Linked DNA regions of Ovis aries. The protein of the gene in region 4 purifies or fractionates together with the protein of the main gene of each other region. This does not show direct contact. Links are inferred from orthologs where the notes say so. Each region holds a gene or a part of one and is shown on either strand. Other genes may lie near its edges.

Region 1 (7,163 bases), on a different chromosome or scaffold from region 4:
TTTCCTGTGCCGCCTCAACTCCGCCCCAACTTGGGGTGGAAAGTTTCTCTCCTCGAGATGGGCGGCTGCTTCTCCTTCCTTCCCGGCCGGCCAGGAAAGCCCGAAGCGAGTGGGTAGGCTGGTTGGGCTCCAGGCCTCCAGCCAGAGAGGGGAAGTGACTCGCCCGCAATCACACAACCGCGAGACCACGCCGAGCCAGCTTGGACCGATGGGCAGGCAACTCTGCCCGGGGAGCGAGGTTTCGCACCCGGCCGCAGCCCAACCTCTTCCAACGCGGGGTCTCGGGCGCCACCCGCTGGCGGAGCGCGGGGCAGCACCTGTCAGAATCACCGCTATCTTCCCGCCCGAGCCAAGCAGTCAGAACACACCAATGCTGAGACAGTGTTTATTTATCTATAAGCCAAAGAGGCTGACCCCTAAACTTAAATATCCAGCACGAAGCCTTGGCCCTCCTGACCTTGGATGGTGCAGGAATGGGTCCTGGAGAGCCCCTGTCTAGGGCAGTGGAACCCAGGGGCCAGAGGTGGGATGCCCCTGAGCCAGGAGCTGCCAACAGCAGCGAAGGTGAAGAGACAGGAGCCAGGCCACTCAATCCCAGTCCCAGAGATGCCAAGGGAAGTGCTTTGGACCCCACTGCCGGACTGAAGGTCGGCCACGCTGGAGGTCCCACAGGTGGGATAAGTGGAGGACCAGTGCCATGGGCAGAGGCTATAGCCCAGGTACCCGCCCCAGTGCCAGCTAATCCAAGACATGAGAGGGTGGGCAGCTTTGCCTCCGTGGGGCCCAGACCCTGCCCTCCTGTGAGGTGAGGTGGTATGGGGGAAAGCAGGCACCACAGTCCGAGTACTTGCTGAGGGGTGAGTTTCTGAGCCTTTTTCGTGGGTGCGTGCCCCCACCCTCCCAGCTCTCAGAGGCTGATGTGGAAGGCATCCTGCAGCCACTGGTCCCGGACATTGTGTGTCTGGGGCACAGTGAGGGGTGGCGGGTCTGGGGGCAGGCTAGCATCTGGAGGCTCCTCGTCATCAGACAGGCCAGCGTCGGGTGGGTAGGAGCTGTCTGAGTGCAGGGAGGACGACAGGTCCTGGCACAGGCTCAAGTCTTGGCACAGGTGCTTATAGTCCTGGATCGACTCATACAGGCCCCACAGCTGGCACAGCAGGGACATGTCCAGCTGCCGCAGGCCCACCTGCAAAAGACTGAAAGTGGGCTGGGGTTGGAGTGCCAGCCACCCCTCCGCCCATGCCATTCTTCCCAAGCACAGGTTTCTGTGGACAGCTTTGAATCTTTAGGCAAGTCAGTAACCCCTATCTGCAGGACAGGGACAAGACAGCAGAATGGAAAGAACACTAGTAAAGCATTTAAAAATACATGGTAACTATCGCCAATAAACATAGCTATAATTATTACCGTATCCCCTCTAACCCAACTGGCTTCTTTCTGTCGTTCCTCTAGACCCAGACCGCGTTGCCTGTGGACCCCGCCCCGAACGCGCCTGGACTCTCGAGCTTGGTGGCTGCCCCGTCGCCCCCCAACGCCTAGCTGACCGAGGCCCAGCTACTCACCATTTCCTTGCGCAGCGCCGCTAGCGCCGAGTCGAGGTTGACAGGGCGACGTGAGCCAGGAGTACCCGCGGCAGTTCCCGCGTTGGCGGCGCCGGTGGCTTGGCGGGGCCCGTCCGGGACGCGGGCGGCTCGGCTCAGCTCATCGTGGATGCGGCTGCGCTGACTGTAGACGCGCTCTAGCTCTCTCCACGAGCCCCCGCTCGCGTTGAGAAGACCGCTGAGGCCGCGCGGTAACGGCGGGAGACCAGCCAGGGCGCAGCCCGCGCCGCTCGGCGCCTCGGCAGAAGGCAGCCCATTCATGGCCGGGCGGGTACCAGAGGATGATGCCGCCTCTTTTTCGCCAACGCTCCGCCCGGGCCACCGCCCGCGGGCCCCGCACCCCGCGGCCCCGCCACCAGAGCCCAGCCGCCGCCCGCAGGCCGCGCTTTGTTCCCACCCGGACTCCTCCGACTCCGCCCCTGCCCCACCCCCTCCGCGTGGGCGGGGCCTGTCTTAAAAGGGCAACAGCTCTGTGCGCCCACGTTGCCCCAGGAGACCAGAGAAAAGGGCATTGGCCACCGATAGAAGGGAAGCAGGTAAAAAGGAGGGAAGAGGTTAAAAGCGGAGGGTGCGGTTCCTCCCCCTCCCCAACACTGTTTATTCCGGCCAATTACAACTCTCAAGGAAAAGGATCTAAAGGGGGTGGGGTGTGGTCAGGAGACAGATTAAGACCATCCTTGATCCCTATCTGACTACATCCTGTCAGTATCTGGGTACCTGGTCTGGGCCTGAGGTGGGACAGGATGATGGTGTCTGGATGCTTGGGGGAAGAAAGGGAAGCTACCGAGGGGACTGGAACCCCAAATCTCTCTCAAGGGTGGGGAATAGCGCTGGATGGCTGGGGAGGTTCCAGGATTCCTTCAGAGATCCACGCCTCCTGTTTCTGCTTTTGAGGTTGGGGCCTCCTCACCAGAAAAAAAGAAAAAATAGCACATAGTCCTCTGCCACCTCATCCTTTGAGTGGGGATACTGAGCAGAAACAAACCCCACTCATTTCTCAGGGCATCAAGGAGACCAGACTGTGATACCATGAAAGACCAAAAGCAGGGAAAAGACGAGTGGAGCTGGGACTTGCATGCACACTCAGAACCAAAAAAAAGAACGAACCACACAAGAGGAACAGCTGTTTTTCTACAGGGTTTTTCTCAGGAGAGGTTTTTTAGTGTTGCAGCTGCTTCAGACTACGCAGGGCTTCAGCACACGCCCGGATAAGGCTACACAGCTGGATGCTAGTCTCCAGGGAGGTGCTAGAGCCCAGCTCAGCTGAGGCCCAGGTCAGCTTCTGCAGGAGAGCCTCCTGTGTGCAGGCCACCACATCTGCATTTGGAAGCACAGCAGGAGGGGGTGGCCCCTGGACTGCCTTAAGCCCTGCTGCAGCTCCCTCACAGTGTTCAGGACGGGGTACTGGCGGCTGAGGGGCAGGCCGAGAGCTCAAGGGGGGCTCCGAGGCAGAGGCGAGCTGGTGCTCCCGAGCTTGGGAGAGGGCAGCCTGGGCATTCAGAGCTAAAAAAGGAGAAAGCCAGTGGAATGATCAGGATATACCTGGCCCCACATCAGCCCTAAGACACTTCCCCTACCCTTCACTGTTCTGCTCTCTCTGTACTTGAGATGTATTCCCTGCCCCAGTATAAGAGAACACATCCATTTTCTTTTTTGTATCAGAGGTATTTACGCCCTTGCTTAAAGAGCATAAGGCCTTCTCTCATCAGAACTATGCCTAATAAGCTCAGGCTCAGGTGTCTGGCACACAGTAGGTGCTTAGTGCTCTTACTGAGTGAATGGCCGTTTCTAGGAGAAAGGAGAACGCAACTCACCCTTGCCCCACCCACAACTACCACTCTCACCTCCCAACTACTGTTCCTGAGTCTCTATCACTAAGCACCCTCGACCCCTCACCCGGGTTATCTTTATCCACGTCTGAATCGAGCTCCTGACAAGCCACGCAGTAGATTTTCCGCTGTTTGTCTTGGAGGAGGATCGTCTAGGGGCCAGAAAGCACAGGGAGCAGGGGTGAGACCGGCGACGGGGTTCAGAGGGGAGAGAAGGGGAAAGGGCCGTGCGGCCTGGTCCGCGGCCCCAGCCTGGATCCCACGTCCCGAGTATCTCCTCACCCCGCAGTCAGCACAGGTCTCGCCCAGCATGCGGTAACCACGCAGCAGGTAGTCGCCCATGAGCCGGGAGATGCGATCCTGTCGCTCCCGCCGCGCTTGCAGCACCTTCGTCTCCGCTTCGGTCGGGGGCTCCCAGGAAAAGTCGTCGACTTCTGGGGGAAGAGAGGCACAAGGGGCCGGAAGGTCTTGCTGAAGCAAGGTGCCGCCCGAACCACGAAGCCACAGGCCCCCACAATCCATGGCCTCACCAGCGCCGTTTAGGGCCATGTTGCCGTTGTCGCCGCTAGACTCACCGGAAGTGACGCACAAGCAGCGCGCCTTCTGCTTCCCCGCCCTTCCCTGTCGGGCCGAGAGTGAGGGCGGAAATGACGCTCTCTCTGCTCCTCCGACGTCGCGATGCCCAGAGTGGGGCGTGTCTGCTGCAGTCTGGACCCTGTCCCACTGGCACGCCCCGCGGTGGGATTCTGTGGACAAAAACTTTTCGACTGGCTGGGCGTCAGGAGGGGCGTCTCTCTGATAATGCCACTCAGGTCTCTGGACCCGAAAGTGACAGTGCAGGGTCGCTCTTCCCGCCGCAGTTGGAGGGGATCGCTTGGCTTGAGAAATCTCCGCTGGCCTCCGCCTCCCTGGTGTTTCCCTTTCCGCACTGGCAGGATCCGGGACAGGCGGGGCGGTTGGCATCATCGCAACACCACTCTTGATAATAACAAACGGCCCCTTCCGCGTGCGTGGAGCGTCCTCGGGCCTCACTCGTTCGCCATTCAATTGGCAAAGCAGGCCAGGCAACGAAAGTTCTCCCCGTCAGTTGTTCAGTCGCCAAGTCGTGTCCAACTCTAGGACCCCAGGGACTGCAGCACGCTAGGCTCCCCTGTCCTTCACTATCTCCCAGAGTTTGCTGAAACTCATGTCCATTGAGTCAGTGATGCCGTCCAACCATCTCATGCTCTGTTGCCCGCTTCTCCTTTTGCTTTCAATATTTTCCCGACATCAGGGTCTTTTCGAATGAGTCGCCTTTTCGCATCAGGTGGCCAAAGTATTGGAGCTTCAGCATCAGTTCTTCCAATGAATATTCAGGGTTGATCTCCTTTAGGATTAAATGGTTTGGTCTCCTTGCTGTCCAAAGGACCACAGTTCAAAAGCATCAATTCTTCCGCGCTTAGCCTTTTTTGTGATCCAGCTCTCATATCCCTACGTGACTATGGGAAAACCATAGCTTTGACTATACATACGGACCTTTGTCTGCAAAGTCTATACCTTCCAGCTTATTTCAAGACCCCTCCCCTTCTGCATGTTCAGTGTTCCAGTGTGCCCACCCCACTACCCCCTCCATCCCCATCCAAAGGCCTGGGACTGATGCAAAGTCAGCGCCTAAGCAGGTTTTTTATTTTGTTGACGTTGGCGCGCTCAAAAAGCCAGCTAATGGAGGCGGAGGTCGGGTGGGGTGATGGTGGCAATCGCTGTGCTGGACATGTGCTGTTTCGGTACCAGCTGCATGCTGGAGAGTGGGGGTGAGGGGTTTATTATGCGTGCCTGTGACCCTTTTGGGGGTTCCAGGTGGTGAAGTGGTAAAGAATCTTCAGGCAACACAGAGCAGATTCGATCCCTGCTGCCGCTGCTGCTAAGTCGTTTCAGTCGTGACTGACTCTGTGCGACCCCAATGACGGCAGCCCACCAGGCTCCCCGGTCCCTGGGATTCTCCAGGCAAGAACACTGGAGTGGGTTGCCATTTCCTTCTCCAATGCATGAAAGTGAAAAGTGAAAGTGAAGTCGCTCAGTCGTGTCTGACTCCATGGACTGTATAGCCTACCAGGCTCCTCCGTCCATGGGAGTTTCCAGGCAAGAGTACTGGAGTGGGGTGCCATTGCCTTCTCTGGGATTCGGTCTCTAGGTGGGGTAAATCCCATAAAGGAGGAAATGACAATCCACTCCAGGATTCTTGCCTGAAAAATCCCACGGACAGAAGAGCCTGGTAAACTACAGACTGTGGGGTCGCAAAGAGTCAGACATGACTGAGCACACACATGACCGTAATGCTCTTCTTCAGTGGGTTGCTGTTAAAATAACTCGGGCTTCCTAAACATTGGCCCCAGTGGGTTTTTTTGTTTGTTTTCTCCCTCTCTTTTTTTACCCCATACACATTCTCTCCCTTAGTAGGTTTGGAGAAGCCAGGTGGAGCAGCAGCAGTCCCCCCGACGTGCAGCCTGCAGTGCCTCAAGGCTATATTCCAGGGAAGTGGAGGCACAAGGACTTAGACTCCCACAGTCACCTAAGCAGTCTGTCTCTGACTGGCGGAATGTGCTTTCAGTTTTACCTGCAGCTGGAGTGCCCTCCTCGTGGCCCCATCTTCCTCCTACATAGACTCCCTGGACCTTCCATTTTTGGACACCTGCTGCCTCCTGCTTCCTTGGAGAGCCCTGGGCCCCCAGTCACTCTGTCCAACTACCAGCAGGCTCTTGGGCAGCAGTGTACCTGAGTCAGGGTCTGACGCCAGGTTGGTTCTGCCAAACTGACTAGAGGGACTTTTGGACTCTAAAGCCTATATGCACAGTCCCTCCAGGTCCTTACTATCTTCAGCTCTCAGCTCCTCCTTACCCCTAGATTCCTCGATGCATCCTTCTGTGTCATCATAATGACCGATTTCCACTTGACAGCTTATCCGACCTGGCCTCAACTAAGACCCTCCCATTTACTCCCTTCATTTATTCCTCATGACAATTCCTCTCTTCTGGGTGGGGTTGGGAATTTCTCACAGAAATTCACTACTGCTATGGACAAAAACAAGTAGATGAATCACTAGAACTTTGCTGGCTCACTTGGGAGATAAGGGGTAGGGCAAGTGATACTTGGTAAGATAGAATGGCAACAGCTGGGCCATCTTACAGCTCAGCCCTTTCTACAGTCTATCATGCCAATCTTAAATCCATTCTGAGATGACAATAAAAGGTCTCAGCTCCTCCATCCCCACCCCGCACCCCGAAGTGGGTCCTGGCTGCTATAAGGGAGTTTTGTCCCTCTTAGGGGAATTTCCTTGAGACAGACAAACTCTCATAGGAAGCTACAGATGAGGCAATGATTACTGCTTGGGCTCCTATTGTTTAAGTTTATAGTACTGCTACAGTGAAAGAAATCTAGATAAATTCTTGTGATCGGCTCCAGCTAGAATCCTAGTCCTTCTATTAAAACAAGGCAGAAATAACATGTTATTATGACAGTGGGACAGAAATACCCCCTATTAAGGCAGTCTCCTTTAAAAGAAAAATCACAGCTGTCAAGTCCAAGTCCTGACATACATCTATAAAGCACTCTTGCCAACAACAGCAGAAGTCATATTCTTAAATATACTTGGAACATTCTCCAGGATAGATTGTAAGTTAGACCATAAAACAAGTCTTAATATACTTATTTTAAATTTGTATTTGTTTATTCAGCTGTATTAGGTCTTAGCTGTAGC
Region 2 (7,532 bases), on a different chromosome or scaffold from region 4:
TTTTCACTTATACATCAGGGTCAGAACACTGCTTCCACTGCTGTTTACAAATGATTCTTAACCTTCCTCCTGCAAAAACTCCAGCCATCCTGCTAAATTTCCCCAAACTCTTTTTCAAGTACTGAGCTCTCACTATCGGCCCCCATTCACTGAACCCTCAGCACTAGTATTCTTCTCTGCCCTGTGGCCCTGGTCATTTCTGGAGCCCTTGACATTCACATGGATGCTCTATCTAACAATCATCTTCAGTCCCACTCTGGCAGTAGTGGCGGTGTAATTGCTAAGTCATGTCAGTCTCCACTCTAGACTCAAGTATTTTGACTACACCATTTAAAAAAAATGATTTCAAGCACCAACACAAACCTCTCAGTTCACTTGTTCTTGACACAATCTGCAACAACCTGGATACCCAATCCTCATCTATGACCACCATTCAAATGATGTCTTTCTCCTGTCTTTCCTTTTACCTCATTTAAATTCCAAGATCTATCACTATAATCATCTCCCTTCAAAAAGTCTTCAGCTCCCTTGATCTTCCCTCTCTCCCCTACCATATTCACCTGGGAAAAAAACCCACTCCTGGCTGAACTGGGTCCAAAATCAGAATAGAACAGCTGAGAGCTGCTGATAAAAATCACAGTTTCACTTATTGCTTCACACGTTTCAGTTTTTCCTCATACTATCCAGCAATTCTCCATTCCCTTTGTAAGTTCACTTTTAAGATAAACACTCCATACTTCACACCTCTCTTCTTCAGCCTCTCATCTCACATCCTCACCCACTCCTTTCCAAGTGCTGACCACATCTTGTATATTACTGAAAAAAGAGAAGCACCCATCAGACAGGACTTCCGCATCCCCCACCATCAATACCTACCACCTTACCCGGCCCTGCTCCTACCTCACTCCCTCCGCTTGTGCACCGAACCTCTTCTCTCACCTTCTCAAGAACTTCTGCCCTGCACTTCTTTCATTGCTCTGCGCCATCAGTTTTTCCTTCCTTATTGAATCATTTCCACCAACACATAAACCTCCTCTGTATCTCCCATCTTCTTAATTCCAGATTCTCCTCTGGCAACCACCTGCTCCCTTCTCCTCCTCACAGCAACACTCATCCAAAGCTGGTTGTGCTCACTCTTCACCTCTCTTTCACTATTCAGTCCTTTCCAAACTGACTTCATCCCACTACCCCCTGAAGCTACTCTTAGGAAGTTCACTGGGCAGGAAAGGGTTAACTTAGCAGGACTGAAATGTTCAAACTCAAACATCCTAAAGACAGGACTGGCCTTGACCAGCTTCTGAGAGATAACCTCTAAACCTTTGGAATATCCTGCCTGATTAGAGCACCTTTGTACCTCTGAGACCTTGGTTTATGCTAACAATGTGCTTTATGGTGAATACCAGTTTGGTTCACCTGAGACCCTGGGCTACAATGTTATTGGTTTGACCTTGGGTGGCGGCTGAGGTCTGAGTAGTTAAGGTCAGTCATATGGACTGACCTAGGTTAGGTGACTGTCCGCCAATAAAAATCCCAGATGCCAAGGCTTGAGGAAGCTCCGTGGTTGGCAATACTTCATGTGTTTTCACTCATTGTTGCTCCAAGAATTGAGCCCCACCTATAAAACTGCACTGGAAGAAGACAACTAGAAGCTGGAACTTGGTCTCTCCAGAAGTTTGCCCTGTGTGTCTTCTTCCTTTGCTGACTGTAATCTATATCCTTTCACTCTAATAAACATAATCATAAAGAATAGCTTTTTTGAGTCAAGAGTCCTTTTTACAAATCAAACCTGGGCATAGTTTTGGGGACCTTCAACACACAGTCACTGCCAGTTGCTGAATCTGGTATACAGTTCTCGGTCCTGTTACAGCACCTCTCTTCTCTCTTGAAACATGGCCCTGCTGGAGCTGGGACACACTCTCTCCCAGTTCTCCTCCCTCTCTGGCTGTCCCTTCTCAGTCCCTTTTACTCTTCCTCCTCTCCCACTTGCTAATCCCAGTAAATACTGACAGGTGCAGTCCTGATACTCAGAATAAATCTATGAAATCCTAATTTCCCTGGGTGACAGTCATGAAAACATGTAAGCCAGAGAATGAACACATAACTTCCACCATAGCCACCAAATTTTAACCCCTTCTAAGTCCCTACTGTTTTCCTTAATTCTTATGTCATCTACTGGGTTCTATGTAGACTTCCTCATCGTCTCACTTTTATACTCATTCAGTTTTTCTATATTTTCTGTATCTTCTGTGTTTAGGTACATAGACGTCCATAAGGCATGCATTTCATCCAACATTTACTGCTATGCTGCATCTATATTCCAATCTCAGCACTAGATACGGAGGCACGTATTGCAGTCCTTGCTCTCAAGCTGCTTTCAGTACAGTGTCAGAGACAAACCTAGAGTGGCAACATGGTATGGAAAGTGTCCCAGACACTAGAGTTTGATTCAGTGTTCTGAATCAAAGCTAAGAATCTGACACCCCCAAACCAACAAAACAGCATCTTCACAGTAAAAGCCTTAAAACGGACTTCTCACCCACCTCCTTATTTCACCAGTTAGGCAGACAATGTGTTCTTGCATCCTGCGAAGACGGATTTCATAGCGCACATCTCTAGCTTGTGGGTTGTAGTTCCTGGCATAAAAGCCCCGCCAACAGGCCTGAAGCTTGGTGGCTGCTTCATTCAGTTTCTGGAGGGCAACTTTATCTTGTCCCAACGGAACAGATTTCTGGGTTAACAGCCTGCAGGGAAGCTTCTCTGAAGCTATTTGAGACCTGGCTTCTTCACTGTCTGGCTGCATATGGAAGACATTGTGTCCAACTGACTCAGGAAAAGATGTAAGACTGTGGGTGTGATCCTTCAAGCCAGCACTGGTGACTGTTGGCTCAGGACAAGCTAACAGTCCATCTTTCTCATTTACCTCTGTACCAACTGCACTTTTTGTCATCTGAACAGAATTCTCATTTGCAGCCCCCAAAGCCTTTTCCTCTTCCTTGTTTGATAAGCTCTGGTTTTCTGGCCCTTTCACAGATTCATCTGCAGCAGCATCATCTTCTAGGCTCAAGTTAATGCCTTGCAGCCTCAGCTCCACTGTAGGTGATACTGGAGAGAGTCCTGATGCAACTGGCATAAAAGTAGACTCTGAAGAGAGGAGACTGCAATTTAACTTGTCCTCATCGGTCTGGATGTCTTCCAGGTGCAGGTCATTTCGAGAATATCTTGCAGTGTGTACAGAGGTTGGAAAGTTATTCTTAACAGCATGTGATTGGTCATCATGACTGCTTATCCCAACCCAAGAATTGACTTGGATGACAGGTTCTAAAAGAATCAACAGAATGTCACTGGAAACATTAAATATTTACGGAGGGATTTTTTTTCAGTTGTATCCCTTTAATGAAATTTAATCCCTCAAATATAGTAAAAGGCAATGAAATTATTTCAGTAATTTCCTCCAAAATGCCTTAAAATATCAAACCAAATATTTTTAAGAAACTAAATTCTTGCAATAATCATAAAAATAATCAAAGTACTAGGTCAAGTCAAAAGGTGGCAGTCCTCTGAATGTTTTCGAAAATTAAGACATTTAATAGTTATAGATGTCTGTGTATATTGTTGTTGAGCCACTAAGTCGTGTTTGACTCTTTTGCGACATGACCCCATGGATTGTACAGCATGCCAAGCTCCTCTGTCCATGAAATTTTCCAGGCAAGAATACTGGAGTGGGTTGCCATTTCCTTCTTTAGGGGATCTTCCTGACCCAGGGGTTGAATCCACATCTCCTGCATTGGCAGGTGGATTCTTTATCACTGAGACAAAAGGGAAGCTGCCATTTGTGTAATATACATATGTAATAAAATAAAAGATCCAAATGTTCACTTGAGCTAACAAGTAAAACATTCTGAAAATATGTACTGTTTCCTGTTTTATGATACCAAATAGATCAAACAAAAAAGGACCGGAGATCAGTTAACTTCTTACCGCTTTCTGGGACTACCTGGCCATCTTGAATGGGGCTGGAATGCTCTGGCACAAATGATGCCCTTGATTCAACAGGAGACGACTCTTCATTGTGGCTCTGGTTCATTAACTGCCTCTGGTGAAATCTAAAATCAGAATACCCTATGTGATTTCACACAAATCAAAAAAAGAAAGCTTCTCTGCTTCCTTCAACAATTCGCCAGGTAACAATGTCAAGAAGGGAGAAGTTTACAAGTTTTCAGAGTACATACCTTTAATGACCTCAAAATTACAAAGTCTCATGGATAGAAAATGTTAAGAAATTTATTTTTAAATCACAGTCAGACACCATCATAAATATACACACACAAACCTTCAAAGACAGGATCTCTGATGAAAGACGTGACTACTAAAAATGCTTCTAGTATATATAACGTTAGTTTTCTTTTTACGTTTTTTCTAAAAGCTTTATTTATTATTTGGTTTTGCCTGCGTTGGGTCTCTGTTGCTGTGCATGGGCTTTCTCCAGCTGTGGTGAGCGGGAGCTACTCTTTGTTCTGGTGTACAGGCTTCTCACTGCCAGTGGCCTCTCTCTTGCAAAGCTCGGGCTCTAGAGCTCGGGCTCAGCAGCTGTGGTGCACAAGCTTAGCTGCTCCACAGCATGCGCCATCTTCCGGGACCAGGAATCGAACCTATGACTCCTGCATTGCCAGGCGGATACTTAACCACTGGACCACCAGGGAAGTCTCTATAATGTTAGTATTTTAAAGCCCATGTAAAACACCCACATTAAAAGAACAAATGAAGTTATTTTAAATCCCAGGCTGCCAGGCTGCTAGGCTCTCCCCACTCAGGAAATGACTAGTAAGCAATGCAGCTACTGGGGAGGAAACCAGATTGCACTGCGTGGTTTGGCTCCTCTGAAAGCCCACTGTGGTGACCAGGGCCCCAGGGGTCCAGAAATGTGGCTGCAGCACTCTCTCCAATCCTGCTAACTCTGCAGGAAAGTTGCATCAGCCGCTACAGATAAATGCGCTCACCTCTGCTTGCTCAGAATCTTCTCTAGCTTGGCATCCTCTGCAGTTTGAAGGCCCAGCGTAGAAGTGAGAGGACAGACTGTAGCCAGATACTGGACAAGCTGGATGTGCTGGCCAGGCCGATACGCTCTCCCCTTGCCTTGACTATATAGCCATTCAGCTTTTAAACTGGAATTGGGGGACAGAAAGAAGGGCTGGCACTGGGGTAGACAAGATACATTTTCAGGCAGTAATGATCTTCCTTCTTAATATGCCTTTCCAGCATCACTAGATGTTTTTCATGAATAACATTTCAGTTAAAAAGAAAAATTATCCTCTGCTTTACTCTCCTTATTCTTGTTATGGTTTAAACATTTTTTCTTGCTTAGGGGCACTTCCAATGATTTGTACTAAATGGTTCCAAATATTTTAAAATTATCTTCAAAGAAGCAATAAGTATTCCCTCCATTCACTGTCAAACTGAAGTACCTAAATACATAAACTGTGTTTAAATTCACTAGTTCATAATGATAGTTTTTTTAAAGCCAACTGGTCACAGTTGAAGGATGCTAGTGAGCTACCATCTCATCATCTTTAAAAACTGATAAAGGGGGAGAATTAAATATTATTAATTCCATTTTTCCTATACAAACTATACCAATGAGTAACCAAATAGTTACTCCACAGAAGTATTCCAGCTTATTTAAAAATGAATTATAGAATTAAAATTTCACCATTTTGCAACTCTCAATGAATTAATGGATTTAGGCACTGACCGTTAACAGCTTCTCATAACATAAGAGACAACCAGATACCATGTGCCTCTCAACAGGACCCAAAAAGCTGTTCTTGACCCCACAAAAATCTGATCAAACCTCCACCTCCAACTACCCATTTACAGAAAACACAAAAGAGGAGAGTATGTCAAAGCACATGGGGACGCAGCAATTGGCAAAATAAGCACAGTAGGAAACTCTGTAGGACAAAGAATTTGATTTCTTCAATAACCAAAAAGAGAAAAGAAAGCAAAGCAGAGAGACAGGGGGCCCACAGAGAGATCTGAAAGCATCATCTTGGACCTCTAGCCAAGCTGACCTTTCAAATGACTCCAGCCCTGACTGTGATCACACCACAAGACCCCAAGTGAAAATGACCAAATCAGCACAGCCAACCCATGCAGCATGCAATAAACAGTAAACTTTTAAGATACTGAAAAAGAGAACAAGAAAGATATATTTTAAATACATCAAGTAATTACATTGTATGGCCTTATTTGGAACCAGTTTCCAAAATTCTATTTAAAAACTGCATTTACGAGGACTAAACATAAACACTTAATATTTGGTGTTATTAAGGAATTATTGTTAAATTTTTTGAGATGTGATAACAGTATTGTATTTATTTCTTTACAGACTGACATTTCTCAAACGTCCCACATAGCTCCCAAATTGGAGTGATTACGAAATAGGCTGGAGTGATTATGTTTGGAGTGATTATGAATAAGGCTGCTATGAACATGCTTACGCATTTTTTCCAGCATACATAAGTTCCTATTTCTCTAGGGTATATAGCAGAGTCAAATTGTTAAGTCATAGGGTATTTATATGTTTAAATTCAGTACTGTCAGTTTTTCAAAGTGGCGCACAATTTATACTCCTAGAACAGTTAATGAGAGTGCCAATTGCTCTACATAGCCATCAAAATTAAACATATTGCTCATACTTCTAATTTTAGCTACTATGGTGGGAGCTCCATAGCAACAAGGAAAAAAAATAATCTTTCTAAATTATCAAAAAGTCACTATAGTGGGGACGGGAGTTATGATGAGTGGGACAAAGAAGACCTCTGCAGTGCTGGTTACATTTAGTCTTCTTTTCAATGGTGATTATACAGATATTCTAAAGTATTACATTTAAACTATTTCTAAATTATATGCTATCACAACAAACTGGAAAATTCTTAAAGAGATGGTAATACCAGACCACCTGACATGCCTCCTGAGAAATCTGTATGCACGTTAGGAAGTAACAGTTAGAACTGGACATGGAACAACGGACTGGTTCCAAATAGGGAAAGGAATACGTCAAGGCTGTATATTGTCACCCTGCTTATTTAACTTATATGCAGAGTACATCATGAGAAACGCTGGGCTGGATGAAGTACAAGCTGGAATCAAGATTTCCGGGAGAAGTATCAATAACTTCAGATAGGCAGATGACACCACCCTTATGGCGGAAAGTGAAGAACTAAAGAGCCTCTTGATGAAAGTGAAAGAGGAGAGTGAAAAAGTTGTCTTAAAACTCAACATTCAGAAAACTAAGATCATGGCACCTGGTCCCATCACTTCATGGGAAATAGATAGGGAAGCAATGGAAACAGTGACAGACTTTATTCAGGGGGGCTCCAAAATCACTGCAGATGGTGACTGCAGCCATGAAAGTAAAACACACTTACTTCTTGGAAGGAAAGTTATGACCAACCTAGATAGCATATTCAAAAGCAGAGACAGAGACATTACTTTGCCAACAAAGGTCCATCTAGTCAAGGCTATGGTTTTTC
Region 3 (7,532 bases), on a different chromosome or scaffold from region 4:
ATGAGAAAGTAGAAAAGAAATTAAGGAAACAATTCCATTCACCATTGCAACGAAAAGAATAAAATACTTAGGAATATATCTACCTAAAGAAACTAAAGACCTATATATAGAAAACTATAAAACACTGATGAAAGAAATCAAAGAGGACACTAATAGATGGAGAAATATACCATGTTCATGGATTGGAAGAATCAATATAGTGAAAATGAGTATACTACCCAAAGCAATTTACAAATTCAATGCAATCCCTATCAAGCTACCAGCCACATTTTTCACAGAACTAGAACAAATAATTTCAAGCTTTGTATGGAAATACAAAAAACCTCGAATAGCCAAAGCAATCTTGAGAAAGAAGAATGGAACTGGAGGAATCAACTTGCCTGACTTCAGACTCTACTACAAAGCCACAGTCATCAAGACAGTATGGTACTGGCACAAAGACAGACATATAGATCAATGGAACAAAATAGAAAGCCCAGAGATAAATCCACACACATATGGACACCTTATCTTTGACAAAGGAGGCAAGAATATACAATGGAGTAAAGACAATCTCTTTAACAAGTGGTGCTGGGAAAACTGGTCAACCACTTGTAAAAGAATGAAACTAGATCACTTTCTAACACCGCACACAAAAATAAACTCAAAATGGATTAAAGATCTAAATGTAAGATCAGAAACTATAAAACTCCTAGAGGAGAACATAGGCAAAACACTCTCAGACATAAATCATAGCAGGATCCTCTATGATCCACCTCCCAGAATGCTGGAAATAAAAGCAAAAATAAACAAATGGGATCTAATTAAAATTAAAAGCTTCTGCACAACAAAGGAAAATATAAGCAAGGTGAAAAGACAGCCATCTGAATGGGAGAAAATAATAGCAAATGAAGCAACTGACAAACAACTAATCTCAAAAATATACAAGCAACTTCTGCAGCTCAACTCCAGAAAAATAAACGACCCAATCAAAAAATGGGCCAAAGAACTAAATAGACATTTCTCCAAAGAAGACATACGGATGGCTAACAAACACATGAAAAGATGCTCAACATCACTCATTATTAGAGAAATGCAAATCAAAACCACAATGAGGTACCACTTCACACCAGTCAGAATGGCTGCGATCCAAAAATCTGCAAGCAATAAATGCTGGAGAGGGTGTGGAGAAAAGGGAACCCTCCTACACTGTTGGTGGGAATGCAAACTAGTACAGCCACTATGGAGAACAGTGTGGAGATTCCTTAAAAATTGCAAATAGAACTACCTTATGACCCAGCAATCCCACTTCTGGGCATACACACCGAGGAAACCAGAATTGAAAGAGACACATGTACCCCAATGTTCATCGCAGCACTGTTTATAATAGCCAGGACATGGAAACAACCTAGATGTCCATCAGCATATGAATGGATAAGAAAGCTGTGGTACATATACACAATGGAGTATTACTCAGCCGTTAAAAAGAATTCATTTGAATCAGTTCTGATGAGATGGATGAAACTGGAGCCGATTATACAGAGTGAAGTAAGCCAGAAAGAAAAACACCAATACAGTATACTAACACATATATATGGAATTTAGGAAGATGGCAATGACGACCCTGTATGCAAGACAGGGAAAGAGACACAGATGGGTATAACGGACTTTTGGACACAGAGGGAGAGGGAGAGGGTGGGATGATTTGGGAGAATGACATTCTAACATGTATACTATCATGTGAATTGAATCGCCAGTCTATGTCTGACGCAGGATGCAGCATGCTTGGGGCTGGTGCATGGGGATGACCCAGAAAGATGTTATGGGGAGGGAGGTGGGAGGGGTGTTCATGTTTGGGAATGCATGTAAGAATTAAAGATTTTAAAATTTAAAAAAAATAAAATAAAATAAAAGCAGAAGAGGAAAGCAAAGTGGAAAGCATAAAAAAAAAAATAAAATAAAATAAAAATATAAAGCAATGTTTACTAAAAAAAAAAAGAATTAAGAACCTCACCTAATCACAACAGAGTCCCTGGTATAGCCACCGTCATATTCTGTAGTTTCTTCTAGTGCTTGGAAATCTAGATTCTGCAAATTCAAGAAAACACATCTTAACATCTACACCACACCATTACAAACAAAAGATCAACAGAAGATTTTTCTGGAAACCCTTGCTTTCTTACCCGGCTTCCACATATAAGCAATTCAATTTCCTCTGGTCTGAATAAGTACTTTAAAGGAGATTCATTGGTCACCATATGAAAACCTCTCCGAAAAGCCTTGAACTGTTTTTCTACTGATTTATTGAGAATGTAGTCAGAATACAGATTGACAAATTCCTGCAGAAAACATTAACCACAAGAAGGTCTTATGATGCGTAATACAACAAAATACAAGCTACTGGACTGCATCATATTTTTATTTTCCCAAAGAAAACACAATCAAGAATATTTTAAAAAATATTTTACACACACAAAGGAAAATACCTTTAACGATTTCACAGCTCTCTATGATAGACAAAGTGTTAGTTACTCAGTCATGTCCAACTCTGTGATCCCATGGACTGTATCTGGCCAGGCTCCTCTGTCCATGGGATTCTCCAGCAGGAATACTGAAGTGGGTCACCATTCCCTTCTCCAGGGGATCTTCCTGACCCAGAAACTGAACCTAGGTCTCCCGCAATGCAGGCAGATTCTTTACACTCTGAGCCACTAAAGAGGCCACACACATATAAGTTTCAACTTCGATATTAAACAAAAGCTGGGCCTTGATACAATTTTAAAGTTCTCTCAATTAGGTTATGCAAATGCAAAAACATTTAAACCATTTATACATAAATTTATAAAAGCTGACATTTTTAATAAGAGTGCAATGTACTGGAAATGAGCAAATAAGGAAGTCTTTCATGTTTCCTATTCTAGAATATTTGGGAAGCTGCCTACCGTTATCTGTTTCAACAAAAATATCAGTGTTTCACTTGGTGAGCAAGCTATTGTACCAAATAAAAAAAGGAAAATAAACTCTGTATCCCAAGTTAACTAATATTTTATCAAAAATTGTATTAATATAAACATTGTTTTTAAAGACTTTATATATATCATAATTCCCATTTCCAGATGCATACTTTTCTAGTCAACAGAAAACACAAAACTGATTTCTTTAAAATATTTATTCTTTAGTACTTTTCAGATGTTTATTTAAGGCACGTGTATTTGTATGTGCATTAGAAGCAATTATTGACCATTTGGTTATAAGGACCCTCCTTGTTTCCTACCCCTCTACAGCTTAATATGAGAGACAGCCTTCTTCCTGCTTTACCCACAGCCACCCACATCTGTGCACTGTCGCCCACTCGGGGCCTCTCTCTCCAGGAGGAGTTCAGTGCCCAACCACGTGCTCTCATACCAGCCTTTAGTCAAGGTTTAAAGAACTGTGGCTATTTCATTTAATGAAAAAGAACTTAGTTACTTGATTTCTTTGTAGAGCTGACATTAGAAACTTCCTTAAAAACTACAAGTGTATGTGCTTTCCCTGGAGGAGGGCGTGGCAGCCCACTCCAGTGTTCTTGCTTGGAGAATCCCATGGACAGAGGAGCCTGCTGGGCTGCAGGCCATAGGGTCTCACAGAGTGGGACACAACTGAAGCAGTGCACGCACAAACGCACACATATACGCTTTAAAATTCTGTTATTAAAGAGACAAAGACAAGGATGACATAAAAACATTTATTACCTTTCTGTTTTCATTGGTAATTGGAATTTTATCACCATTTTCCTTTAGATCATACATCATCGGATTACCAAAAAGATCTGTCTGAGATATCTGGAAAGTGATCATCATATCATCTTCCACATTCCCTTCATACTCCAATAAGTCTTTTAAACTCTGATACAGAACCTACCAATCAGAAAAGGAAAAATTAAGGTTACCACACAACTATAAAATACAACAATCTGTATCACTCTTCTTGGGAAAAGATTCAAAAAACTAACAGTAAGAATTAAACCACAAACAGTACCCCTCTTCTAGTAGTTTCTATGCAGACATAAAGAAAGTCAGTCAGTCAGTGGTTAACGCGTCCCTCTGCTGAGAAACCCCACACCAGCTACTTAGCTATGGGTCTCACACTGTGCTCTACCGAGACCCTTAGAGGCATCTCAAGGGTAAGGGGGGGGCTAGCTGCAGCCACCAGAGCCACTGACTAAGGGCAGCTCTGACTCAACCCAGCAATCTCATGATTCCATTAAAAAAAAAAATTAGAAACACTTTTCTACAGAATCAACCTTGTAAAGCTGACTTGCTTGTAACAAGTTCTCCTTCAAGTTTTTAAGTGTTTATGGCATTTCAGATAGATAATAAAACAAGTTTATCTCACTAGGTATAAATATTAACAAAGATTTCAAATCAAAGCTTTAAAAATTTTATATAAATTAAATTCTGTATTTGCTTTTAAATAAAATCTAAAAGAATAAAAAATGACAAGACTTACAGGATGAGAGTCTCCCAAGTCAAGAAAAGTTCCTTTTTTCCCCATTAGCTTCCTGTAGACAACCATGGGAAAATGTACATCCAGTATACAGTTATTGTAAATAGCCAAACCCAGTACTATGCCAATCAGAGTGAACTGACCCTCAGTTTCAAAAGAGGATGGATTAAACCAAAACAACTTTGTAGATTCATCATATGTGAACATACCTGTAAGAAATGATTTTTTTAAATGCATTACTTTCATATTTTATTACAGATGAACAAATAATTATACATATAAAATACAAAAATAAATATAAAATAATTACACATGTAAACTTATTTGCATTAGGGCTTTTTTCTGTTATGTCAGGACTTACGAAAACAAAGTTCCAGTACATATGAATGCTACAAATTGTATAGCATATATTTAAAGTAATAAGCCATTCTGTTGGCATTTTCTAAGTTAGGAAAACTGTTCATTAAATTCAAGTTCTCTAATCTTCTATTAACATGAATCAGAAGTTAACTTGCATTCATATTTTTACCACTGAATGGTTGAAAAACGCAAAAGAAAAAAGAATCATATTTTGAAAATGTTCCACTTATTAAAACATATTTAATCCACATGCATTGCTTTAAAAAACAATTTTGAATTTCATTAAGAAAAAGTCTTTTTCCTCCAAATTGCATAATGGTTCCATGAAGTTTTTCAAGCACCTTTTTAACAAAGATACCAAGTACTTAAACTCAGGCAAACTTGATAAACTTATGCCCAAAACCAAAGCCATTTAATATACACATTAACTGTGAGCCAAAAAGTAAAACAAAACTAATTTGTAGTCTTCTTTTAATTTCACATGGTCTTCACTATTTATATCACTCATTTAAAAATAGTAATTAAATAGCCATTACCATGGTAGACTTATCTCTTTCCTTGTAAAGAAATATCTAAGATAAATGTAAAATGATATTTTAATTGACTTAACAATTTCATTTTACTATAAAATGTTTTGTAGTTGCTACTGTGAAACTAAATGAAAATATTTCAAGAATTAGATCTAGGAAAGAGAGGGAAGTTCCAATAGAATAAACTTTAAAAATCAACATTTTTTAAAGAAATCAACCAGTTTTTAAGTTTTTTAAACAGTTTTTAAAATGTTTAATTTTCACATTTAGTTGAATTTAAATATAAAGGGAAGTTTAAAGGGTCCCCTTGATCCTAAGAACATGAATTTAAGACATTTTTCTAATGCAACTTAATGTTCACGAAACAAAATTTTATAAATTACCTAATTTATACTTGAATCTCAGTTTATATCCAACTTTTTTTTACAGGCTGAAATTACAAATCTAGTGAAGTGCTAAAAACTTCATTTAATTACAAATATGGTATTAACTGGATCAGAACAGTTAAGAAAAGCTCCATAAAGGGTGGCTCTTCTAAAATATTCCTTTTTGGTATTTCTATTGTCATCATTTTAACTGATTTACTATCAAGCAAAATTGTTTCATGTATGTTTTTTCTTAAAAGTATTTCTGCATATAATGTAAATATACTTTGTAACTAATGTTTAACATTTTTAGATACATAAAGACCTAGAGCTAAAGTTCACCAAAGATAGAAAATTAATTTAAAAGCTTCATATCTCACAAACACCATGGTTTTTAATGAAGCTTATAAATTAATTTTCTATCTCAAAAACAGCACAGATTTATACATCTAAGTTTACTTTGAGCAAATTATATATAAATGACATAGTCTTCAGATTATTAAAAAACATTAGCTAAAATACTAAGTCTTACCTTAACTATGTTTATGTCATGAAGTCAAAATGTCTACTTCCATTTATAAGCAGACTAACAACAAATATAGAAAAGTCAATTCAGTGTACACACTGAGAATCAACAGGAAATGATGTGCATTATTCTATGCCACGTTCTTCACAATTATGATGGTACCTTTAGAGGACTTCTTTTCCTCTAATTGTCATGCATTCGATTTTAAAAGTAAGCAACCCCAGTAACCAAGGTTTATACTGTAGAAATTAAATCAGATCAGAATTATCCAAATTATTTTGTCTATCAGTGAAACCCAAATTCATTTTCAGACTGACATACTATAGATCAATCTCTCCCAAATCATGTTCAATGAAAACTCTTCTGGAAAGCAAAAGCTACTAGATGTGGGATGGAAAAAGGGTTCTGGAGTTCCGTGTGGGAAAATATTATAATATTAAACCCAAGAAATGCTGTAGGAAATAAACCAAATTAATCTGCTATCAATCAGTACACCCAAATTTTGAGCACGATACACTTGTGAGACATTCTCAAGTCTTCAGACCATTATTCTATAAAACTCTTGTCTCAGAAATGCTATGGGTGATGAGTATTTTAGACTGAAAAAGAGCAAAACATTTCTTCAACTGTTCTAATGTATCATTCTAAAATGTCTTCAATTTCTTTTATCTAAGAGATAATTTCCTATATTAAAATATGTTACTAAGTAATCTAAATAAGAACTTGAATGAATGAGTGATGCAGGATCAATCCCAAAAGCCCACAAATTCAGTCATTATCTGTGATTCTAGTTACCTCATACCAAAATCTTCTGTTGCTCTTCATAACTGAAAATATTTGTAAATCTAGTAAATAAATTCTTAATTCAAAAAGATATGATACCATGATCACATCACTAAAATATTTACCAATATCTGGATTGAAGATTTCCTCCACAACCAGCTGAAAAAATTCTTTGGAAACACCTCCCTCATCAACTCCTTGTTCTCCTTCAAATTCCACATACAACTGTTTCTTCAAGTCTGCAGGATTTTCCATAGCGATCATCTCTAGCTAGTGAGTGGAAAAAGTGGAAAGAAGATGAAAGCCAGTATTAGGATGAAAACAAAATAAATTGTAGGGGCAGGAGCAAATAAAAGATAATGCTTTTGATATATTTTAAATGGAAACAGGAAGCAAACTGGTAAAAAGCCAGTAAGGCAAAGATTGTCTCACAGATAATGGAAAAATAGGATACAAAAGAAACTGGCATAGAATTCTAAAAGGGTTACTTTTTAACTAGTGATT
Region 4 (8,151 bases):
CTTCCGGGAGCTCTCAGTGGCCTGGAAATCCTGGGAGGAGCTTCCCGTGTGGTCCAGCAGACGGACCTCAGTGCTCATGGGACTCTCGATCACCCAGTTCAAGTTTGTGGGGCCTGGAAGTGTCAGAGGACCAGGGTTGGCACACCCATCAGTCTGCTGGCCCTCCCGCTCCTGGGCTGACCCAGCTGAACTCTCACTGCTCTGCTGCTCATCTTCTGTGTCCTCCTCAAGCTCAGGGTGGGGCCAGCACCTCAGGTATCTTCCTTTGCTGTAATACTCCTTGCGCTGCAGATCAATTTCCTTCTCCAACACCACAGTGGCGGATGAAGTTGGGGACAGATTTCTGAAGGCAGGGGAAGCTGAGGAATCACCCAAATCAATCTGAGTCATAAGGGCACCTAGAGAATACAGGGCACCAGCTTCACTGTGACCCCTAAGCAGCCATGAGAAGCTCAAGCCTGAGGTTCTCATCTCACTTCTATCCCCTCCTCCCATTTTAGAAAAACATCAGTGACCTTTCCACCCCCTCAGAGTTCTGTGGGGCTTTCTGTTCCTCCTTCCCAGCCAGCCTTCCTTGGGGCCTGATGGGGACCCCACCCCAGCTGCCCTCTGTCTACCTTGGGGACAACAGCCAGCACGACTTCCCTCTTAGGCAGCAGGGCCCTGGGCTGACACCCACTGAGGAAGACAAGCTCTGGTGGAGAAGGTTCTGGACTACAATTCCCTTGGGTGTCTGGGACCCCCCCATAGCTAACCTTTGGCTTCTAGGATGTGGTTTCTGGCCACTAGGCCAATCTGGCCCTTGACTCCTCCAGTCATTCTTCCTGCCCCACCTCTTTCCACAGGCCTGGGCTCTGAGTCCAGCATCTCACTTCGACTGCCACTGCTCATACTCACACCACCCACACTGCTGTTCTTGCTGTTATCCAAGGGAGGGTTTTTCTGAGGTTTCAGGAACTTCCCTTCATTGTAGTGTGCCTTGCGGCGCTTTTCAAAATCATTGGATTCTGTGGGCCAGTGTCAGAGCATGGCTTTCCTGCCAGGCTCTCCGCTGAGCTCTCACTCCACCTCCCCTTCCACTTAACCCCACCCCTCATCTCACGTGTCTTGGAAAAGCTGTCTGAAGACCCCGAACTTCTGTTATCACTGTACAGGACCTTGGGGCAGACATTGTCCATTGCTGCAAACCTGAAAGGGAGGGAGACCAGCTGGAAGCACAGAGAGAACAAAAAATGGGAGCAGGTGGTAGCTGGGGCCAAGCTGGCAGACTCCCCGACCTTGGCCTGAGTGAGTCCTGGTCCAAATTGTAGTACCTCCCATTTGGAGAGCCAACAAGCAGAGCTGGCTCAGACCCTAGCTCAGGGGTGGAGGGGGCAGGAGGCCGCAGGTCCCTACTGACGGCTGGCAGGACTCTCACCTCTCTGCTAACTTCTCAGGAGTCATTGCGTGAGAGGTACCGGCAAGCAGGTCTTCATCGCTGTCTTGCAGCCTGCAAGGGAGGGAGGCAGCAGTGCCTCAGAGCAGGCAGCAGGCACTCCCCTTCTCCTTAGAGAGTAGGAGCTGAAGGGCTACAGCTGCAGACTCGCACCTGTGGAAGGGAGTGCTGGGCTCATCCACCTTCATAAAGCCATAGTTCTTGTCAGCAGGGTGGTAGGTCGCCAGGATATTCATTTCATCCCAGTGCTGAGACTTTCTCCTTCGGGTGAGGAAAGGATACAAAAAAAGGGGGAGGAAATCTCCTAATGCTCAGTCCTCCCTCACTCTTTCAGTCATTCAAAACTTTTTCCGACGTGTAGGAGGCTGAGGTGGGGTCACACTTGATGATAATCAAGTGCTATGTAATCAAGGGTTTATCCTATACCTGCCTCTCTCTCAAAGGCCAGGAACCTCGGATTCCCCACCCAATTACCCCCACTTACTCTCACTTACTCTCACTTTTAGTTCTTGGGACTCCACCCCCTTTCCCCTGCCTTGGTTTCCTCCTGTGTCTGGAATCCCTTTCTTCCTCCCCGGCTTCTTACCTCTCCGCCCGGGGGGATTTGTGCACCGTGATGGAGCTGCTGTTTTTTAGGATGCTCCGGGGCCGGTCCTCACAGGGTCTGTCTTGGCGCATGCAAGTTGACTCGGATATCGTAATGTTTGCCGAGTTGTACAACCCAGACGCCCCGGACCCCGGGTTGAACGTCCCGGATACACTGGTTCCAGGGAAGGGGGGATTAAATCCGTCAGGTTTTGTACGGGACCCAAAGCTGTGGCCCGCGACTTCCCCAGGATGCTGGTTGAGCCCGGTACCGAGGACTGCTGTCCCTCCGGAGGGCTGGCTAGAATCAGGACTGCGAATTATAGTTCCCCCATTGTGCGTGGAGGGCCCAGAACCGTGAAACATGGTTACTCCGGAGAGCAACCCGGCGCCTGACTCGACTCCTCCGATGCCTCCTGGCACCCCCCTGATACCCCCACCAGGGGATTCTCCATTGAGGCCGCCAGCAGCCCCCACACTTTCCTGCTTCTCCATGGCCCCACTAGGGGGCCACTCTCAGCTACCTCGCCCCGCCTCCCTGCTCCACATAGCCCCGCCCCAGGCCCCGCCCCCACTGCGGCTGGAGAGGGACGCTTGGGCGAGGCCTGGGTCCCCTCCCCCACCGCTCCCTGGAGCAGTGGGGGGCGGAATCAAAACTGTTTAGGGACCTCCGACTGGAAGCCTCTCAGGTTGCCCCTCCCTTTCTGTCCCACCCTAAAACCTTTCTTTGTCTTTGGGATTTGTTCCCGCCCTTCTCCCCCATCACCCTTATCCGAATTATCCAATCATAGTCATGGTCCCGGACGCCGTGCGAGAAACCTAATTGTGACGTCACACACAGTCCAACTGAAGCGTGAGCATCTAGGGAGTCTTGCTGGGGGGTTGTTGATAGCTCTGGGGGTGGCTGTCTTTGAGGGCTGTCAGCGTCGTTGCCTGAAACTACCTGCCAGGGTTCCTTTGGACTCTTTATTCGTGGCTTTAAAACCTAAGTTTGGTTGAACTAGAGTTCAAGATGGGCTTGTCTAGAAACATCGCGAACTCTTTTCGCCCCAAAATCCAGCCCGCTCTGTTTCTGCGGAGAAGTGGAGGGATTGCGACACTGTCGAAAGACATATCCGGTCTCAAGTGGTACGGAGTGTGACCCTCTTTATTTACAAAGCTACCTCTATGTGCTCAGGGCCCGCTCACACCGCTTCCGGGCGCTTGGAGCGAAGGAAAGCCCCCTGCCTCCTCCTGCCGTAAAGCGAATACTTCAAAGTGTTGCCTGTCCTCGACGAAGGCAGGGTCGTCGGTGTCGCAAAGCTGAAAGTGTTTGGGCACTACCCCTAAGTCGTAAAAGTGCCTGTGGCAGTCGTTTCTTCCACTGTCGCAAAAGCTCCCGGCCCGTCTTCGCCCCTCTGGAGCCACTCCGTCACCTCGCCCGTGCCGTAAAGCAAACCTGCCCGACTCTGTCGTCCTTTCTCTTCCCACCGTAGTAGTCCTTAGTTCCTTACTCCGGGATGCTTTATTGCCCGGCACTGCCGTAAAGCATATCTGGCCCCAGCCCCCGAGTCCTATTCCCCCAGGGCGTCTGTGCACCGCGGTTGCCACGGTGCCGCCAAGCGCGGCTGTCGCGCGGCCCCGGTGTCAGCGGCGATGGCGGCGGGGTCGGGTGGGAATGGGGGCTCCGGGGGAGGCCCCGGGCCGGGGCCGGGTGGGGGTGGGGGTGGTGGCCCCGGCGGGAGCGGCCCAGGGCCGGGGTCCGGCGGGGGTCTGGGCAGCGGCGGGGAGCTGCACCCGCGCACCGGGCGCTTGGTGAGCTTGTCGGCCTGTGGGCGTACAGCGCGGCGGCAGCAGCCAGGCCAGGAGTTTAACCACGGGCTGGTGTTGAGTCGGGAACCCTTGCGCGATGGACGCGTCTTCACCGTCCGCATCGACCGCAAGGTGCGGAGCTGGGGCCGCGGAAGCGAGATGTGGAGGGTGGTGGGAGGGGACCAGAAGGCGATGGGGGAGGACAGCTAGGGTAGCCCACATTACCGGATACCGAGAGGGAACCGCTAGCCAGAACACCAGGTGATGAGCAGGAAGGGAGCATGAAGCGGAAACATTAAGTCACAAAAATAGGAGGCAAGGAGAGCTTGATTTTTGTCAAGACTCAGGAGCATGGAAGGGACACGGGGCCCCACCCACTATAATGATTAAAGAACAATCCTCCTGGGATAATTTCTGGGAGACGGAGGATGGAGAGATGTCAGATATGTGATGGAAGGAGAAGAAAGATAACCAAGAAAAGAACAACCACTGAAGGACAAAAGCACACCGATAGGGACAGAAAGATGGGTGAGGAGAGATACTCAAAGCAAGAGATGTGTATGCCTGTGCGGTGATGCAGCGGAAATGCCAGGTGCACAGAGGTAGAATTTGGGAAGAGAGTGAGTTTGAGTGCAGCCAGAGCCTAGGAGAGAGGCCCAGAGAGAAAGAGCGAGCAATATACCAGCGAGTATGGAGAGCTGTGAATTTGACTGGTTGAGGAGCTACAGAGACCAGAGCAATTAGAGATGGCAGGAGCCTGGAGCCAGGGAATTTAACCAGCTTGGTGAGCCAGCGTGGGAAGAGCATGGGATCATAGACAGCGTGCACCCAGAGTACAGAAGAGAGTTGCTAACGGAGAGCAAGTCTAATCATTCCCTGAGACCAGAGTCCAGATAATACTTTGTGGGACTGGATCTCTGGATTGGGGATGTCTTGTATCTCAAGAGAGTAAAGCCCAGTTAGCTAAGAGGTGGGAAGAGGGGGACACAGTGGCCTATGAAGTGTGGGAGACCCATTCGTAGCCCACCCTGAGCCACTGTCCACTGCCCCATCACAGGTCAACTCCTGGAGTGGCTCCATTGAGATTGGGGTGACGGCACTGGACCCCAATGTGCTGGACTTCCCAAGCAGCGCCACAGGGCTGAAGGGAGGCTCGTGGGTAGTGTCGGGCTGCTCGGTGCTGAGGGATGGACGGTCTGTGCTGGAGGAGTATGGGCAGGACCTCGACCAGCTTGGCGAAGGGGACCGTGTGGGTGTGGAGCGCACGGCTGCCGGGGAGCTGCGGCTCTGGGTGAACGGGCGGGATTGCGGCGTGGCTGCCACGGGCCTTCCGGCTCGTGTCTGGGCCGTCGTGGACCTTTACGGCAAGTGCACCCAGATCACTGTGCTCCCCCCTGAGCCGGGCTTCAGCCCCCCTACTCCCAGCCCCACACCTCCCCTTGATCCCTCCGCCCCCCCTGAAGATTCTGCCTTGGCTGAACAAGGGACCTCTGGGGATGAAGGTGAGAATGAAGTTAGGGCAGTGGTGGGGGGACGGGGCAGACAGAATGGCTGAAGGAACGGGGGCGGGCAAGGCAATGACAAGTGAGGCTGGGTGTGGGCTGGGAGAACAGGGGCTAGTGGAGGGGTCTCCTGGCTGTGGTCCCTGCAGCAGGGGCTGAACCCTTATTCCCCTCCCATCCCACCTGGTCCCCAGCCTTCATGGTATCCCCAGCGCAGGCCCGACCGGAGACGTTTCCTAACAGCCTTGAGTCGCATAATGGTGAGGGTTCCTGGGAGGCCTGGGAAGGGGAGCGGGACATGAGGTGGACAGGGGGGGACCTCAGGAGAGGGGTAGGGAGAGCTTGGTGAGCCTGAGACTGAGAATACTCATTTCTGCTCCCTTCCTGTGTCCTGCTGTTGCAGACTTTGCCAGCATGGAGCTCTCCGAGGTGGTGAGCAATGCCATCCTGTCTGCGTACAACGGGGGGCTCCTGAATGTGAACCTGAGCTCCCCCCCAGCAGAGGAAGCACCAGGGCCTAGCGGTGCTGCCACCTCACCCATTGTCACCTCCAACGATGCTCTCCTTTTCCATGAGAAGTGTGGAACCCTCATCAAGCTCAGCAACAACAATAAGACTGCTGAGCGCCGCCGGCCCCTGGATGAATTCAACAACGGGGTTGTCATGACCAACCGCCCACTCCGGGACAATGAGATGTTTGAGGTGTGCAAGGTGTTGGGGCCTGGCCAGCGTCTCACCCTCTGGGAGCTAGAGATGGGGCTCAATCCCCAATGCTAGCAAAGGGTGGAGGTGGCCTAGGGAAGCTCAAAGGGCGGAGAGACTTTTTTCTCTGAGTTTACATTTCCCCTCTCCCTTCCACTGTCATTCCACCCAAGATCCGCATCGATAAGCTCGTAGATAAGTGGTCAGGCTCCATTGAGATTGGTGTCACCACCCACAACCCCAACAATCTGGAGTACCCAGCCACCATGACCAACCTGCAGTCAGGTACCAGCCCCTGGCATGGTGGGGGCGTGGCCTTTGGTCACTGAGGTGCAGGGAGCCCATACCCTAACCAAAATGTCTGCTTTCCCAGGCACCATCATGATGAGTGGCTGTGGGATCCTGACCAATGGCAAGGGCACCCGCCGGGAGTACTGTGAATTCAGCCTGGATGAGCTGCAGGTGAGGGTGGACACAGTGCCGGCCTCTCTCCAGGGGCACCCCTGTATATACCGAGCAGTCCTCCCTGGGCCCCATATTCTCTGATCTGGAGCAAGGCCCTTTATCTTTTGTCTGAAGGGTCCTTCTGAGAAGGGCTTCCCTGGTGGCTCAAATGATAGTCTGCCTGCAAAGCAGGAGACCTGGGTTTGATCCCTGGTTTGGGAAGATCCCCTGGAGATGGGAACGGATACCTGCTCCAGTATTCTGGCCTGGAGAATTCCATGGACAGAGGAGCCTGGCAGGCTACAGTCCGTGGGGTCACAAAGAGTTGGACACAAATGATTGACTTTCACTTTTCCTTCTGAGAAGGCAGGGTTGCCCAACTGTTAAGCACTCAGATTTTGCAGTCAGATGGGTTGCATTCTTCTTTCAATTTGGCCTTTGGTGGTGGTGACCTGTGGCCAGAAGCTCATCTTTTTGGGTAGTTTTTTTTCCTTAATGTCTGAAAATGAGCCTGTTAGTACTATTTGATAGAGTGCCGTGAAGGTTGAGCTGGTGTTGATAAGATAGTTTAACATAGTGCCTGACTTGCCTTGAACATTCAGAGTGGTCTGGGATGCATGGGAACCAGTTGTTCCCCTGTCGCATCGGTTGATGGGAAGGCTGGAGGACTACTCTGTTCTCAGTGTCCAGGACAAGTCTGGACCTCAGCTGTTGAAAGATTCCAGGTTTTTATTTTTCTGCTTTGAATAGGAGGGTGACCACATTGGTCTCACGAGGAAGTCCAACTCTGCCCTACACTTCTTCATTAATGGCATTGATCAGGGTAAGGAGAAGCTCAGAGAGGGTGGCTGGGCCAGGGCTTTCACTGAGGGGGGTCTGTGTCATTCTCCCTTTATTGATTCTTCTCCCCTCATCCCATACACAATGAGGCCATCATTCCTCCATTCCCTGTGCCTTCCACTCCTGCAGGTGTGGCGACCCCCTTGACGCCCCCAGTGGTGTACGGTGTGGTGGACTTGTATGGAATGGCTGTGAAGGTGACCATCGTCCACAATAACAACCACAGTGACCGCCTTCGCCGGAACAATGCCATCCTGCGGGCTCTGTCCCCTGAGGGTGCTCTCCGCCGGGCTGCTCCTACAACCCAGGCAGAACCTGAGCGCCTGCTCTTCCACCCCAACTGTGGGCAGAAGGCAGCCATCACCCACGAGGGACGCACTGCCCTGAGGCCCCAGTATGGCCCATGGGGTGGGGAGAAGCCTGCGGAGGGGCTATGAGGGGATTGGGGGAGGGGTGGGCAAGTGGGAGGCAGTGGGAGTCTGGTTGGGGGGCCTCCTGGAATGCGGACCGTGGGTGCTTGACTTGGGCAGTGGGTGTCGGCTGGGTATTGCAGTGCTGAGCTTTGGAGCAGTGTGTTGGGGGGGGATCTGAGTCCCCACTTGCCATGCCCTCAGTGCCACCGACGACTTCAATCATGGCGTGGTGCTGAGCAGCAGAGCCCTGCGGGACGGAGAGGTGTTCCAGGTGCGCATCGACAAGATGGTGGACAAGTGGGCTGGCTCCATTGAGATTGGCGTCACCACCCACAACCCTGCCTACCTCCAGTTGCCCTCCACCATGACCAACTTGCGCTCTGGTGAGCTCCCAGGAAGGGCAGGGCCAGGATAAGATGCTAGAGGGGATGCCGTCCCT

What was found.
Region 1: the proteins of NEURL4 (region 4) and ZNRD2 purify together in Homo sapiens (co-immunoprecipitation; 4 studies listed by BioGRID and IntAct, with this or other methods). This does not show direct contact. The link is inferred for Ovis aries from reciprocal best matches to the Homo sapiens genes NEURL4 and ZNRD2.
Region 2: the proteins of NEURL4 (region 4) and CEP97 purify together in Homo sapiens (affinity purification with western blotting; 4 studies listed by BioGRID and IntAct, with this or other methods). This does not show direct contact. The link is inferred for Ovis aries from reciprocal best matches to the Homo sapiens genes NEURL4 and CEP97.
Region 3: the proteins of NEURL4 (region 4) and UBE3A purify together in Homo sapiens (affinity purification with mass spectrometry; 3 studies listed by BioGRID and IntAct, with this or other methods). This does not show direct contact. The link is inferred for Ovis aries from reciprocal best matches to the Homo sapiens genes NEURL4 and UBE3A.

Annotation. Positions count from the first base shown.
Region 1 is NC_056074.1:40,193,281-40,200,443, reverse strand, and holds ZNRD2 (protein ZNRD2), read right to left. Parts: upstream 4,013-7,163; 5' UTR 3,980-4,012; coding exon 3,713-3,979; intron 3,583-3,712; coding exon 3,498-3,582; intron 3,105-3,497; coding exon 2,761-3,104; 3' UTR 2,726-2,760; downstream 1-2,725. Other genes in the region: FAM89B (leucine repeat adapter protein 25), read right to left, coding at 908-1,186, 1,563-1,862. UniProt on the Homo sapiens protein: Might play a role in mitosis. Antigenic molecule. Could be a centromere-associated protein. May induce anti-centromere antibodies.
Region 2 is NC_056054.1:166,989,901-166,997,432, reverse strand, and holds part of CEP97 (centrosomal protein of 97 kDa), read right to left. Parts: intron 5,163-7,532; coding exon 4,998-5,162; intron 4,104-4,997; coding exon 3,979-4,103; intron 3,319-3,978; coding exon 2,541-3,318; intron 1-2,540. UniProt on the Homo sapiens protein: Acts as a key negative regulator of ciliogenesis in collaboration with CCP110 by capping the mother centriole thereby preventing cilia formation. Required for recruitment of CCP110 to the centrosome.
Region 3 is NC_056071.1:1,625,215-1,632,746, forward strand, and holds part of UBE3A (ubiquitin-protein ligase E3A), read right to left. Parts: intron 7,299-7,532; coding exon 7,154-7,298; intron 4,674-7,153; coding exon 4,468-4,673; intron 3,876-4,467; coding exon 3,711-3,875; intron 2,319-3,710; coding exon 2,163-2,318; intron 2,068-2,162; coding exon 1,994-2,067; intron 1-1,993. UniProt on the Homo sapiens protein: E3 ubiquitin-protein ligase which accepts ubiquitin from an E2 ubiquitin-conjugating enzyme in the form of a thioester and transfers it to its substrates.
Region 4 is NC_056064.1:26,920,790-26,928,940, reverse strand, and holds the start of NEURL4 (neuralized-like protein 4), read left to right. Parts: upstream 1-3,649; 5' UTR 3,650-3,655; coding exon 3,656-3,943; intron 3,944-4,868; coding exon 4,869-5,313; intron 5,314-5,350; exon of another isoform or gene 5,351-5,507; coding exon 5,508-5,573; intron 5,574-5,716; coding exon 5,717-6,015; intron 6,016-6,188; coding exon 6,189-6,300; intron 6,301-6,388; coding exon 6,389-6,477; intron 6,478-7,209; coding exon 7,210-7,282; intron 7,283-7,428; coding exon 7,429-7,693; intron 7,694-7,913; coding exon 7,914-8,095; intron 8,096-8,151. Other genes in the region: uncharacterized protein LOC105607811, read right to left, coding at 1-113, 198-398, 1,103-1,188, 1,418-1,489, 1,589-1,696, 2,022-2,515. UniProt on the Homo sapiens protein: Promotes CCP110 ubiquitination and proteasome-dependent degradation. By counteracting accumulation of CP110, maintains normal centriolar homeostasis and preventing formation of ectopic microtubular organizing centers.